Drosophila melanogaster: one gene and its partner. The protein of the gene in region 1 purifies or fractionates together with the protein of each later gene. This does not show direct contact. Each region holds a gene or a part of one and is shown on either strand. Other genes may lie near its edges.

Region 1 (6,575 bases):
GGCTGCGATCCTTCTTGCAGCGGCAGTCGCAGTGCATGATGCACAGGGCAATGGACGAGATGACCGTTATCACAAAGGGCACCGCGAAGAAGTGAATGATCATGGCCACCTGGTCGTCGTGGTTGTACGATGTCAGCACCACCGTCTTGTTCTTTCGCGAATAGAAGCACGGAAAGATGGCACCCTCGATGCCGTAGTAACCGTTAAAGTTCTTACACGTCACCGATGGCGGATAGCCGCATCCCTTGATATTGACAAGCAGTGTCGCCTCGCCGGACTGCTCCATATCGGACGTAAAGTTGCTATAATCGGTCATATTCTCCGGTATCGTAATGTTCTGCTCAATGAACGTCACATAGATATGCACGCAGCGGTACAAATCGGAGGTGCAGCCCTCGCGACACGAACTCCACGAACAGTTGAATATACCCACTAGATCCTCGCGACGCGTCGTCGTGCACAGCGTTGGCTTCTCGATAAAATCGTGGCTAAGCGTCGATATCGCCGGATCCACATAGAGCGGTACGAGGAAGAGCAGCGATGCCCCGGCGGTCACCGAGAAGAAGGCCAGTGTCGAGGTTCCATAGAAACGCGCACGTTCCCGCCACGAACGAAAGCGCCGATTGCCATTTTTCTTTTTCGGAGCCAGTTCTCGGATTTTACGTAACCGTAGCTCTTGTTGTTGCTGCTCGAGTAGTAATTCCGAACTGCCACTCCTCATATTATTGTCGGTGCACACAGGGCGCTGATGTTGCTGATTGTTGCTGCTGCTGCTGCTGCTGGCGTTGCTGCGGCTGCTGCTGCTGCTGCTGCCGCTGCTCCTTGTATCACTGATGTTGCTGCTGTCGTCGCTGGCTGCGCAGCAGCAGCTGCAACGGCATCAACGCTGCTCCTGCTCCGTCGCCGCTCCGTCGCTCTGCTGCGCCCCGCTCTGTTGCCGTTGTTGCACTTGTGTGTGCAACTGCGACGCCTCCGTCCGCCTACCGCAACATGCAGAGCGCGGTTTTGTTTTTAGGTTATGTACACACGCTTCGGCGCAGGAGAAAAGCTAGAGAAGCTTACACCACAGCGAGAGAGGGAGAGCGCGAGAGTGCGAGAGCGAGTGAATAGAGATAGAGATGGAGAACAGCTGTTCCGGCGAAAGTCCGCGAAGGGGAGCGACAGAGACAGCGACAGGGAGAGAGAGAGAGAGAGGGAGACAGAGAAGGGAAGAGACAGCGAGTGACAGTCAGAGAAAAGCGCGCTTTGGCGTTTTCATTTATCCTGGCTTATTGTTTACTCCTTTTCGCTGGTTTATGCACTTTTCAATCGCAGCTAAAACACTGAAAAATAATATTACTTAGTTGGCTTTTAACTACAAAACGATATGCGGCTTTTATGGCATTTCTTTACACATTTTGCGGTTTGCGTGGGTGGCACTTTTTTCACAACTCACAGCTGTTGATGTAGGTTAGTTAGAGAGGTACATCTTGCAGAGCGATTGCAAATGAGAGAATGAATGGGAGAGTGTGTACCGAAGTCGACGTCGGCGCCAGCTGCGACGCCATCGTCGGCGTTCGAAAGTCTACTGGTTTCGCCCTAGTGACTGTGTAACCTTTTTTGCCTCTGTGTGTTGTGGGTGGAATTATTTATGCTACACATTTTTGTGCGGCGGCTTTTCGCTTTTCGCTTTCTGGTTGCCAGTTGCCAGTTGCCAGTGCCTTGGCATTTTGCTTATTATTCTTCAATTTATTTGCATTTGTCTGCCCGGCCAGGGCACAAAGTATTCTTGATTTATTTGGGATCTGTGGGAAGAAGTCTGATCTAACTAGTTTCTGCACCCAACCCCTCGCTATCCAAGCCTAAACATCCTTGCTTCACCTTGGCGGTCTTTAAAAAAAAAAATATATATATATATATCGCTACTGTTGTTGTTGCAACTTCGCGTGACTCTGGACTTTGGTCAGCAGGCTCGTCCTTTGTTCTTGCCCCGTTTTATTGCTGCTCTGTTTCATTTCATTTCATTTATTTAGCTGTCTTTTGTTTTTGCCACGGCACGCATTTCACAATTTTCATCACACACACACACACACAGGTGAGCTTAACTGTTATTGCCACAGTTTGTGTGTGGTTGGTATGATTTCATTTCCATGCTTTGTTCAGCGGTCAACGCGGCGTATGAGTAATGCACTTGGCAGGCACATGGGCTTCTTTCTAAATTATCCTAGATGGCATGGAATATGTTGAGATTTGTTTGCTTGGGGCTAGCAATGCATTTAGCACGGAAATTCTGGAAACGCGAACTTTTTCCAGCAAGGCTGTAGGAGAAGCGACAAGAACAAGAACCAGAACAAGAGCAGCAGAAAAGCTCCTTGAGCTCCTGTCATTGCCATAAGAATTAAGTCTCAAGTACACCGAAAAAATCTTTCAGTTACTTCAATGAGAAACTTACTAAATTATCTAAGAGTGCAGCAGGTCAACATTAAAATTCTTTGTGCAATATGGGTAAGATGGGCAATGTGAGGACCCACAATTTTGGGCAGTGCAACGCCCACGCCTTTGCTTGTGTGGAAAGGAAGGTGAGGTTTGGAATGAGTATGATGGCTAAAAACTAAAATAGAAATAAAAATCGAAATGGAAATAAAACATTAAGCTTTCGAGTCGAACTAACTTTTGACAGCTGAACTGGCAGCTGAAGAGCCTGCAGCCCACAACCCGCACAACCCGGTCGCGATTTCCCGATCCGCTGGCGCACTTTGTTGATTTTGTTGCTAGCACAACGTTGCTTATGGGTTTTTTCTTCGGACTTTTCGCTGCTCGTGTTTATTTACAGGACGCTTTCTTCTTTATTTTGAATATTTCTTTGTTATTCGCACTTTCACTTGATTTCGTTTGCGTTTGCTCTTGAATTTGATTTTGGGGGCCAAACTTTTGCACGTTTTTTTGCACGATTACGGAACGGTATTTTTTGCCACAGCACTGGAATTGGCTAACACCGACGCTGCCATTGGCTCACGCACACACATGCACCCACACGCTCACGCACACGCTGGCGGACAGACAGGACAGACAGACAGAATTCTCGACACGAGAAGCGCGCGCGCTTGGCCCTGACGTGCCTCTCGGAGTGTTTGTCCAAAACTGCGGACTCGGGAGCCTCAGGACTCGAGTAAGGACTCCGATGGCAGGACATGCTGCCCCAAGCCCGCCCCTCCTATTCGCATTTCGGGGGCGGCGCCGCGACGGTGCGTCGACGTCGGCAGCGCTGCCAACGGGGACGCAACTTCGCTAAAGTAACCATACAAGGATTCGCGTGTGCGCGCTCCAGAGAGAGAGAGTCAAATGAGAGAGAGAAAGAGAGTGAGTGGGAGAAAAACAGGACAACAAATTTAAGTTTGCACTGCTTGCAAACACAGAGCCGCTCCCATCAAGTATTCTCACTGTCCGCCGGCACAAAAATGCACGAGCTCCTTTAAATTATTTAAAATAAATAAATTGTTACATTTTATTTATATAAGCTATCAGTCCTGCTACAACATTTTTAAGAATAATAAAGTAAATCGTTACTTCAAGTGGAATAAAAAGCTTTAAGCTTGTACAAGAACCAAACGATAGAATTTTAGCAAGCTTCTCAGGAAAAAACGATATAGCCGGTGTGCCTCGACTATGAACCACAGAGAATGTTTTAGTCGAGTTCCATAAAAAAATCCCAAGGAATTCCCAAGGAAATCCCGAATAATTCCCTAGGATCCCGAGGAATTCCAGAGTAATTCCCAAGGAGATCCCAAAGAATTCCCGAGAAATTCCCAAGGAAATTTGATAAGATTCCAGACGAATATGCGCGAACCAAAGTCCATTGATTGCATTTCTAATGAATCCGATCTACCGAAACCAGTTTCGACGAAGGGCCAAAAGAAAATATACCAAAATCACGGATCATCCAATCTCTTGATCGCTTTTTCTATACGTTCTGCTTTAGCATTCGTTGTTGGCATCATTTTGTTCAATAGTAATAAATAATAGTTACGACTGTCACAAATAAAAAAAAAGCTGTGTTAATTTTTTTTCTTTTATTGCGATTCACTTCATTTTATTTGTATTATTCAACAAAAGTACTCGCTTACAATGTTTCTTCAATACTCTAATTGTTACAAATTAATGTATTTCCAAACAATACGAATTTTACATGTGTAAAAACATTATGTAGAAGACAAAGTAGTTGCGATAAGCAAAGACACAAACCAATGTAATAAATGTACACACAATAATTGAAGAATACTCGTTGTCTTTTTGCTGCGTTTATTTTTTCATAATAACGATTAGTGTATTCATGATCAGGATCACAAGCCGATCTGGCCACGTCCTCTCCGGCCACCAGTCCATCCGCTCAATACTGTCACGTTAACACTTTTGGAAAATATTTAGAATTTCTTCGTTTTTTTTTGCTTGTTTTGGAAATTTGCAATACCGAATCGATGTGCCAGAAAAATAATAAAATTTTATTTTTGAACTAATGCTATATGATATGCATTATGATATAGAGTTTCAAGCCGGCCCGTTTCGACCTATCGTCTGCAAATGTAAACTATTATATCATTATTATATTATATTATAATTATTATTATTACTTATTTTTGGAAGGTTTTCTTAATATATGAATTTGCCAACGAATTCTATATGTTGCAAAAGCTAAATTCACAGCTGTTCATATCCCTGACACAGATTCCGCCAGCAAAAAAAAAAAAAAAACTCGAAAGTAGGTCAGTAAGTGACGTGGCTGGTTGACCCATTTGCGACCTGAAGTTTGCCTAGTTGCAAAGTTGCCAAGGTTGGTTGGTGGCGTCTTTGGCCTGAATATTGGGTCTGGGATTTTGCAGCCGGGGGGTAGTTCCCTTTGATTGCCTCTTGTTTATGGAACTCGATGGAACTCTGCCTGCAAACGGCAAAATCAACACTTTGGCACTGACAGCTGGTTGCAGCCTCCCCCCTTCTCCTTTTCCCCTTCCCCCATCACGCCCAAAAATCAAACTAAACCCAATCGAAGTATTCGCCGTGTGGCCCGCAACCACCAAGTCAAATCCAATTTCATGCGAGGCATTTATTTGTCTATTGCTGCGTATCGGTGTTTGTCTAGTGCCCATATTTGTGTATTGTCCAAACAAAAGTCTTGCATCTCCGAGCAGCCAAACAATGAAAACTGTTGTCTGTTTTTCACCAGAATTTATGACCCAATGTCAACAGCACGCACAGTTTTCATGTTGGAGGCGCAGCTCCTCCTTTCCACCATTCCTTCGCTACTGCGATCTGCGATCTCGGATTCTCCATTTCAGGCTTTTCGATTGAATCGTTCATCGGTGAAATCGGAACGACCAAGGAAAGTTGCTGTCAGGTGGCCGCTTGACCCCAGCCATCGAGTTGGGTTGGCCGCCAACTCCAGACGAGGCTCCCAGCTCCAAAACCCCAAATGCACGCGGACAAATTTCAGCTAATAGCTTCATTTTTATGTTACGATAATTATTTAATTATTTATCGAATCAAACAAATTGGAAAGAAGCTTGATCTTGAAGAATGTTTTGCATTGCATTCTGTGATAAGTTTTAAAAACTTTGGTGCCTCTGCGAAATGTTTACAAATTCATTGCAGTGTCATTAAAGATATTATAAGAAGTAATACAGAATTGAGTGATTTTTTCTCGCCGTGTGGAACCGGTTGTCAAAAGTCTATCAGTCCGTGGCGATGCTTTTTTGTCATTCACATGTCCAGACTGCTGCACATGACATAAATTTGTATCTGCAGCTGATTGTGAGTCGTGTAATAGCAGCATGTATCTTGTATCTGCGCTCATCTTGTCTACAATTTATGCTTCCTGCCAGCCCAATACCAATCCGCATCCCAATCCAAAAACCCCATCGCCGTCCACTTTCATGTCCGTGCTGACATGTTCACATCAATCACACGACCCTGTTGCCCGTTGGTAACTACGTTTTCCATTCCGTACAAATGAATCTCCCCTCGCGACCTGGTCGATGTCAAATAAAAAATGAAAAAAAAAAGTAAAAAAAAGAAAAGCAGCTGAAAATAGAAGGAGATAGATACTCCACGCCGGCACCGAACAGGTAAACATTCTAATGATCGCAACACGCAACTCCAAATGTCAAGGCCTTCTGTTTGGAGTGGGAGTTCCAAGTCGAAGACAAAGCTGGAGTCCAAGCATATGCACTGTATGCTAACTTCGAGTCAAGGGCGATTTTCCACCATCTGCGATTTGTTTGTTTTGTGTTCGAGCTTTTTTGTTTGGCCACTGACATTTTTTTGATGGACAACTCGACGCGGCGTCGGTGGCATGTCCACATCAACATCCATGTCCAGGCTCATGTCCACGTCCAAGTTCGCAGTCATGACAGCACATTTGCCTTACTTTGACATGTTCCTTCACAACTTTGGTGGTGAACCCAAGCGATTCTAATTAGTGAGTGCTCTGTGATGGGGTTGATGGCGTAATGATGTGATACGCGACGAAAAGTCGGGATACTTGGGATAGGTTGGTTAACAACATACAATGGGGGATGTGATGAACGGGAGTTACTAGAGAAAAG
Region 2 (6,575 bases), on another chromosome or scaffold:
TAAACGTGGATAGCAGGATGGGCCTTCTGCCGAACTTATCTGACCAGGGTCCCAGGAAGAGGCTTACTATGGCGGGAACGGTGCTCTCGAGCATCGAGCTTATCATTGTGATGGTCGAGGCATACTCCTGAACTTGCCCCTCAATCTTCTGCAAAATGGGAACTCTGTTGATAGGGGATTCTCTAAAGGCCGGCTGATAAGCCCGTCAAGCGGTCGTCACGTTTCCATGACTCACTAGGTGTTTTGGCCGGGCTTAAATATCTGCACACATGCATGTCGAAATATTATTCCCGATTTGTGTACTGTGGTCGATAACTTTTTGTGATAAGACGAGTCATTAGTCATAAACAATTTGGGTTTACTTTTGTTGCGGTCAACTGATAAGCAAAAACAGGTGCGACAAAGGTTCTTCAGTATAAGTTAACTTAAGATACCAGCAATACATAGCTTTCAATCCGCATCTAATGTTAACAAGCATATGGAACGAATCACACTTGAACCCACAAAGGAAAAACAATAAGAATGTATATAAACCGAGAATGGTTTTTTCCCACAACAATGACTTCTAATTGAAATGCAATTATAGAATCACTGAAATCGCATTCATTAAAGTTTATGCATAAAAATACATATACGCCTATTGCTTTTCAACTTGCCTTAACCTCATCGGAGGCACGATCCGTACCGAGAAATGGCTCGCATTCGGTAGCATTGTATTTCATGACCGTGACACAGGTCTGGTAGAGTATCTGGTTCTGGTAAACGGCATCTGATGTAAACAATCTGATTTATAAACGCCCCCACAACACAGTAAACACATACATGTATGTACACACCTGTTAGGAATCTGCCAAAGAAAACCAGAAACACGGCGGGCTCTAAAATAAGCGAGCGGGGTCGTTTTAGCCAGCTAGAGAATGTCCTATTGCTGGGTGGCGGCGACCGCACTTCGATGTCCAGCGGTTCATCATCAGCGCCAATAATTGGCTCCTCATCATCTCTCGGCATTTTGTGGTTCAGTAAAGGTCGCGGTGATCGCAGCAATTATCGTGTAGACAAAGGAATTAACGATTCATTCAGCCAAGCAATATATCGTAGCGGGAACTGAGTTAAACATCTGTGCGCGCCGAACTCGAGTGATAGACTAACTGGAGGGAGCAGCTGAAATAGACGACGTAAACAAACAAAGCAAGCGATTGCCAATTTGAGCAAACCAAAGCGTTTGCTGCGCCCTATCTGCGCACGAACGCTCGAGCGGCTCCCTCTCGAGAAACCTCACATCGCGACACACAATTCCCATTCGATTTATGCTCAAAGATATTGAATGCTCGATGTATTCACACTTTATTGTCACACTGCAAACAGTTAAATCTTTTGTTCTTAACTTTACAATGCTTGCACATGCAAAACACAGTCCAAATAGCAGATATAGTATATATATACATATACACTGATCAAAATCATAATAATACTTGCAAAAATATACAAGGAGTACAAACACTAGATTAATTTACACAAATAGTTTCTAATCTTTTAAAACGAGAGCTCTTCGCAGCGCCTGCAGAAGGAATTTAACTTATGAGATACATTCAGCTAAATCGGTGCTCTGGAGAGTTTGTTAGCTGCCAATGGCCTGGTAGACACTGCTACTACCCATCGACTTCTGGATGCCGAAGATCACGCTGTATTGAAAAGTATTCGCTTTAAACTGGACTTGAACTGTGCTTGGTAGGACTTACGCTATCAGAATGTAACACACAAAGTAGAGAGCGGCGCTAATAAAGTTGAAAGCTCCGGGATAATTTTCCAAAGTTGCCTTGTAGACGGTTGTGTACAGAGGTGCAGCGCCCAGTGGCGAAACCGATTCCATGGAGGTGGTCAGAGCAAAGATCTTGCCTAAATTATTTCATATGGTTTTAGTTAATGGTATTTGCAGGCTAAACACTTTGGGTACGTACCAACTTCAGTCGCGGGTGCAACGTGCGAGAGAATCGCGCGGCACATAGGTCCCATGACGCCACGCATCATACCCAGCGTCATGCCCAGATACAGCTCTTGCCAGTAGACTGCTGTGGCTCGAACCGTGCTCTCCAGAACACAGCAAGCCAGGGAGAGCATTGCCATGGTTACGATAGACATCTTTAGAACGCGGCGCAATACCAACATGCCAACGATGCTGCCCACAATCTGGATCACGATGCGGGATGCGTTGAATAGACTGAAGTCCTTAATGGTCCAGTTGAATTTATCCTGCACGAACATGTAATTTACAGTGCTCTCTCCCTCTGAAATCATTATAAATTAACTCATATAATCTTAAGTTTGAATTATGTTACCCATGTCGAAAATGGCTATCGTAAGGGCAATCATTGTAAGCCAGATGATTGTGCGATCAAAGTTGGGGCGCCTCTTAAAGCAGGTGCGAATCAGGTCCGTGACCAAATCGAAACGGAAGAACTCACGGACTCGCGACTAAAAATGAGGGAAGGAGTGTTGAGATATTCGTTTCTTCTTAGCTATAGAAATTACTTACTCCGGTGTGAATGTCACCTGGATTTAGGCTTTCAGGTACAAACAGAAGCACGTACATCAAGGCAAACATCATCAGGCTACCAGCAATGGAAAACAACACCAGAGCATTTGTGGCAGCATAGATATAACCGCTGGCCACATTGCCCACCATTATGCCAGCACAGAGGGAGGCTTCATTGAGGACCATTCTTTCAAATAATATATCAAAATGAAATGGCATTCTTTGGATTAATAAATCAAGACTACCCATACTCACCTCAGAGCCTTCTTTCGCTCCTTGGCCACATCGGATATGTAGCAATAGATTCCAGTAATCAAGGCGCAAGTTCCGCCGCTTACGACGGAAGGAACCGAGGAAAGGAGGAACCACCATGGACTTATATTCGTGGACCTCGTTATGTAAGTGATTACTATCAGTATGAGTGCGCCAGTGAGGTAGCCTTTAAATACAATAAGAGTCATTTGTACAAGATGCAATTAAGATGTCCTGACTGATGATTATATACCCGTAAAAGTTGTCAGCAGGATTGGCCGCCTTCCGAACTTGTCGGACCAGGGACCCAGGAACAGACTCGCGAAGGCAGGAATAATGCTCTCTAGCAGAGAGGTTGTCATCATAATATTTGCAGAATACGTCTGTACTATCACCTCGACTTCCTGAAAAAACAGAAGTTCACTTTAGTAAACTGCACAACTGTACAACTGTGGATGAGTCAATGTGCCATATCTCGTACGTATAATTATAATTTTAACGCTTTCCTAGTAAATACTTCGATACTGCTTCGAAATGCAGTAACAAAGGATTTTGCTTACTTCTATTCCGGCCGTTGATAAGCCTCGACTGGCGTTCTAATTACCTTATCTCTAGCCTCCAAACAATGGCAGTTTTGCATTAGGTTGAGACGATTTGCTAATTTGATTTTACTTTGTCACGTCGGATGCTGATATAGTAAGATATACTAAGTAGGTCACGTCTTGGAAGAATATCGGCGAGCCAAATGCGAAATACATTGTTCTATACAGCAAAGGTCATAATAGTAGCAATTACTCGTAAAACAAGTTAATATTGTGATACATTAATTGTGGTTTTAAAATTGTTCAGCAGTTTTTGTAACTTAAACTTCAGTTTTTGTTTACAGTTACTGGATAAATTTGTTTAAAATTGCCATTTTCCTCATCGCCATAAAATCACAACACGAAACGCCCAGCAAAGCAGCAAAAATAATTTGCACAGAGATAAAAACCAGGCAACGAGAACAGAAACTACACAAAGTACAGATATCAAATTGTACATGATGTGTATACTATAAGGGTCAAATTAAATACTTACTTTATCCGCGTCCGATCCGCGATCAATGCCCAGCAGCGGTTCACATTGCGTGGCATTGAATTTCTCGATGGTGATGCAGGTTTGGTAGAGAATTTGGTTCTGATAAACCGCCCCTAAAACGCACACAAAGTTAATTCAATGATGCAATCCAATCGGTTTTACTGCCCTATAGCCATTATACCAATTAAATTTCTGGCGAAGAAGATTAAAAAAACTGCGGGCTCCAGGATGAACCAGCGATAGCTGCTGTAGTCATGAGGCGGCGGTACCGGAGGCGGGTCCACCTGCTCACTGCTGGCCGCAGATGATGCGTCCAGTATGCGTGGTGCCGAATCTTCGCCAGTCTCCACATCGGCCACCAAAGCCTCCGTATCAGAGCGAGGCATACTGCCGTTCCGTTCCGTTCCTACTTGCTCGCTATCGAGAACGGAACTCGTGGATGCGTCTGGCTTACACCAGTCTACCGGAGATAATGGAATTTACAATTCATTCACCAGAACGCTGCGCAGTTCCCTGAAAGTCTTCCAAACGCGACGGAGAGTTTTCAGATACTAAAGCTTCAGCTGCTTTACTGCTGATTAACGTGGATTTATTGTTGCTTAAATCCCTGGTACGTGTATTATTTTCACAAGTACAGCTGGCTGGATTCTCCCGCAGTTAACGTTACTCTATTCGAAACTTTCTAAATGCAAGCAGCAACAGCTGATTGACTTCTTCTTCTTCTGTGTTATTGTTTTGATTTCGATTTTCGATTCTTAGTGCTAGGGATGCCAACTTGCGGCGAATTGAGAGTTTGTGGTTTAAATTTTCTGACACTTTTTACTGGTTAATTAATTCAATTTATTTATAATTTTAGTAGCGTCGTCGGTCACGCTCTCCTCGCGAGTCCCGTTCCCGCTGGTCGTGACGGCCACGGTCACGTTCTCGCTCTCGTTCCCTATCCCGGCGATCTCTGTCGCCGTCCCTCTCGCGCTCCCTGATACTGTCGCGATCTTGGCGCTCTCGTTCGCGATCGTGGCGTCCATTGTTTTGCCGACGGTCATAGTCCTCGTTGTGGGTGTCCCGATTGCGCACCCTATTTCGCTGGCGGTCGTAGTCTTCCAGTTCGTCGTAGTAATCCCGGGAACGGGCGCTGTTGCCCTGCCCAGATCTTCGCTCGCGCTCCCGACTGCGGGACCTTGACTTGGAGCGAACTCTCCGTGGTCGTCTCACTGCTGTCGAATTCTCCTTAGGCCGGTTGGTCTCGTCTGCCTTCTCCTCGTCGCTGGGCAGTTCGTCGTCCAAGTCCTCATCCAGCACTGACACCTTGGGCTCGATTTCGTTGTTTTCCTCGAGAATGGAGCGCTTCTGGATGCGGGGCAGTATAATGTCGCAGACACGGTCGTTGCGCAGCAGTTCGTCAATGTACTCATCCATGTAGACAATCTCGAACTGGCCGGCGCGATTCTGGCGGCGCAGCTTTCGATTGTCTATGTACAACGGCTCCAGGTACTTGTAGCAGTCCAGGGCAGCTCCTGTGAGCCGTAGATAGAAGGCTCCCAATGCTCGAACGTACTTGAACTCCTCGTTCTTGATAAACTCCACTACGATGTCCTTTTCCGGCTGAATCTGCAGCATCTTGAGTGTGAGGCAGAGGAACTGGGTGGGCTTGATGTTGCCGCCGTAGACGCCTCCGACGAATCGCAGCTCCATTGCCTTGTCCACCAGAAGCTCCGCAGTGAGAGCAAAGCATTGCTCCTTCCAGTACTTAGAGTCGTATATCCTCGAACGGATGATCTTCTCGATGAGGTACTGCGGATTGGTGCCGTGCACGTTTTTGGCCTCCTTCACCGTGCGGTTGGCCATTTTCAGTTGAACCCTTGTTCCTTGTCAATCGTAACTCAAATAGGACTTTTCAATCCAGAAATTCGGGTATCTATTGGCAGCAGTGCAAAATGTGAAAATGCACCGAATATATTTATTTATTTTTCGGCGTTTGCTAACCAGAGTGGCCAGCTGCGTAAGGGAGAAATATGCCACTCCGCCAAGCGCATACACAAAGGCGATAACGATAGGGGACGGCAATCGGTATCGGGTGACGCATACGAACAACAGCTCCCAGACAACCAAGAAACGCAATAGCAGAAAAAAACTCACTTGTTCGCTAAATTCGGGTGAAAAAACAGATCAGCCAGGATGAGTTTCTTCGGGAAGATGTTCGGCGGCAAGAAGGAAGTGGCCCCCACCACCGGCGAGGCGATACAGAAGCTGCGCGAGACGGAGAACATGCTTATCAAAAAGCAGGAGTTCCTGGAGGCCAAGATCGAGGACGAACTGAATATAGCCCGCAAGAATGCGTCTAAAAACAAAAGAGGTATGAGAGGAGTGCGCCGAGGTCCTTGGCTTCCTAGTTGGTCACTCAAATGGGCCAAGGGGAAATGACTCATTGCTTTGTTTTTGTTGCGGCCGCGAGGCCTGCTCCCAGTTAATCAGTATCCCATACTGCCAGCAAATAGAAAACTCAATAAACAATATGTATCTCTTTGCCTTTTCACCCGCATACCATTCGATGCCTGGACGTGTCCGCAAATCGCTCAGAACGTAATATAAACATTACTTTTAATACCCAAAACAAACTCAAGCCATGCAGTAGAGTAATTTCAAAGCACGCATTGCGAATTGGCCAAATCATATTTCGGATATATACATAAGCCAGTCCTCGAAACCTTCTAAT

The links.
Region 2: the proteins of Teh1 (region 1) and CG30344 purify together in Drosophila melanogaster (affinity purification with mass spectrometry, with the first as the bait; one large-scale study listed by BioGRID). This does not show direct contact.

What each region holds. Positions count from the first base shown.
Region 1 is NT_033777.3:9,865,018-9,871,592, forward strand, and holds the start of Teh1 (tipE homolog 1), read right to left. Parts: upstream 3,104-6,575; 5' UTR 2,651-3,103; intron 1,323-2,650; 5' UTR 722-1,322; coding exon 1-721.
Region 2 is NT_033778.4:9,143,260-9,149,834, reverse strand, and holds CG30344 (uncharacterized protein), read right to left. Parts: upstream 4,576-6,575; 5' UTR 4,249-4,575; coding exon 4,044-4,248; intron 3,976-4,043; coding exon 3,863-3,975; intron 3,190-3,862; coding exon 3,039-3,189; intron 2,973-3,038; coding exon 2,789-2,972; intron 2,721-2,788; coding exon 2,534-2,720; intron 2,473-2,533; coding exon 2,337-2,472; intron 2,286-2,336; coding exon 1,959-2,285; intron 1,897-1,958; coding exon 1,740-1,896; intron 1,683-1,739; coding exon 1,619-1,682; 3' UTR 1,323-1,618; downstream 1-1,322. Other genes in the region: CG30345 (uncharacterized protein), read right to left, coding at 1-148, 657-769, 837-1,008; Prp38 (pre-mRNA processing factor 38), read right to left, coding at 4,715-5,707; shrb (shrub), read left to right, coding at 6,038-6,215.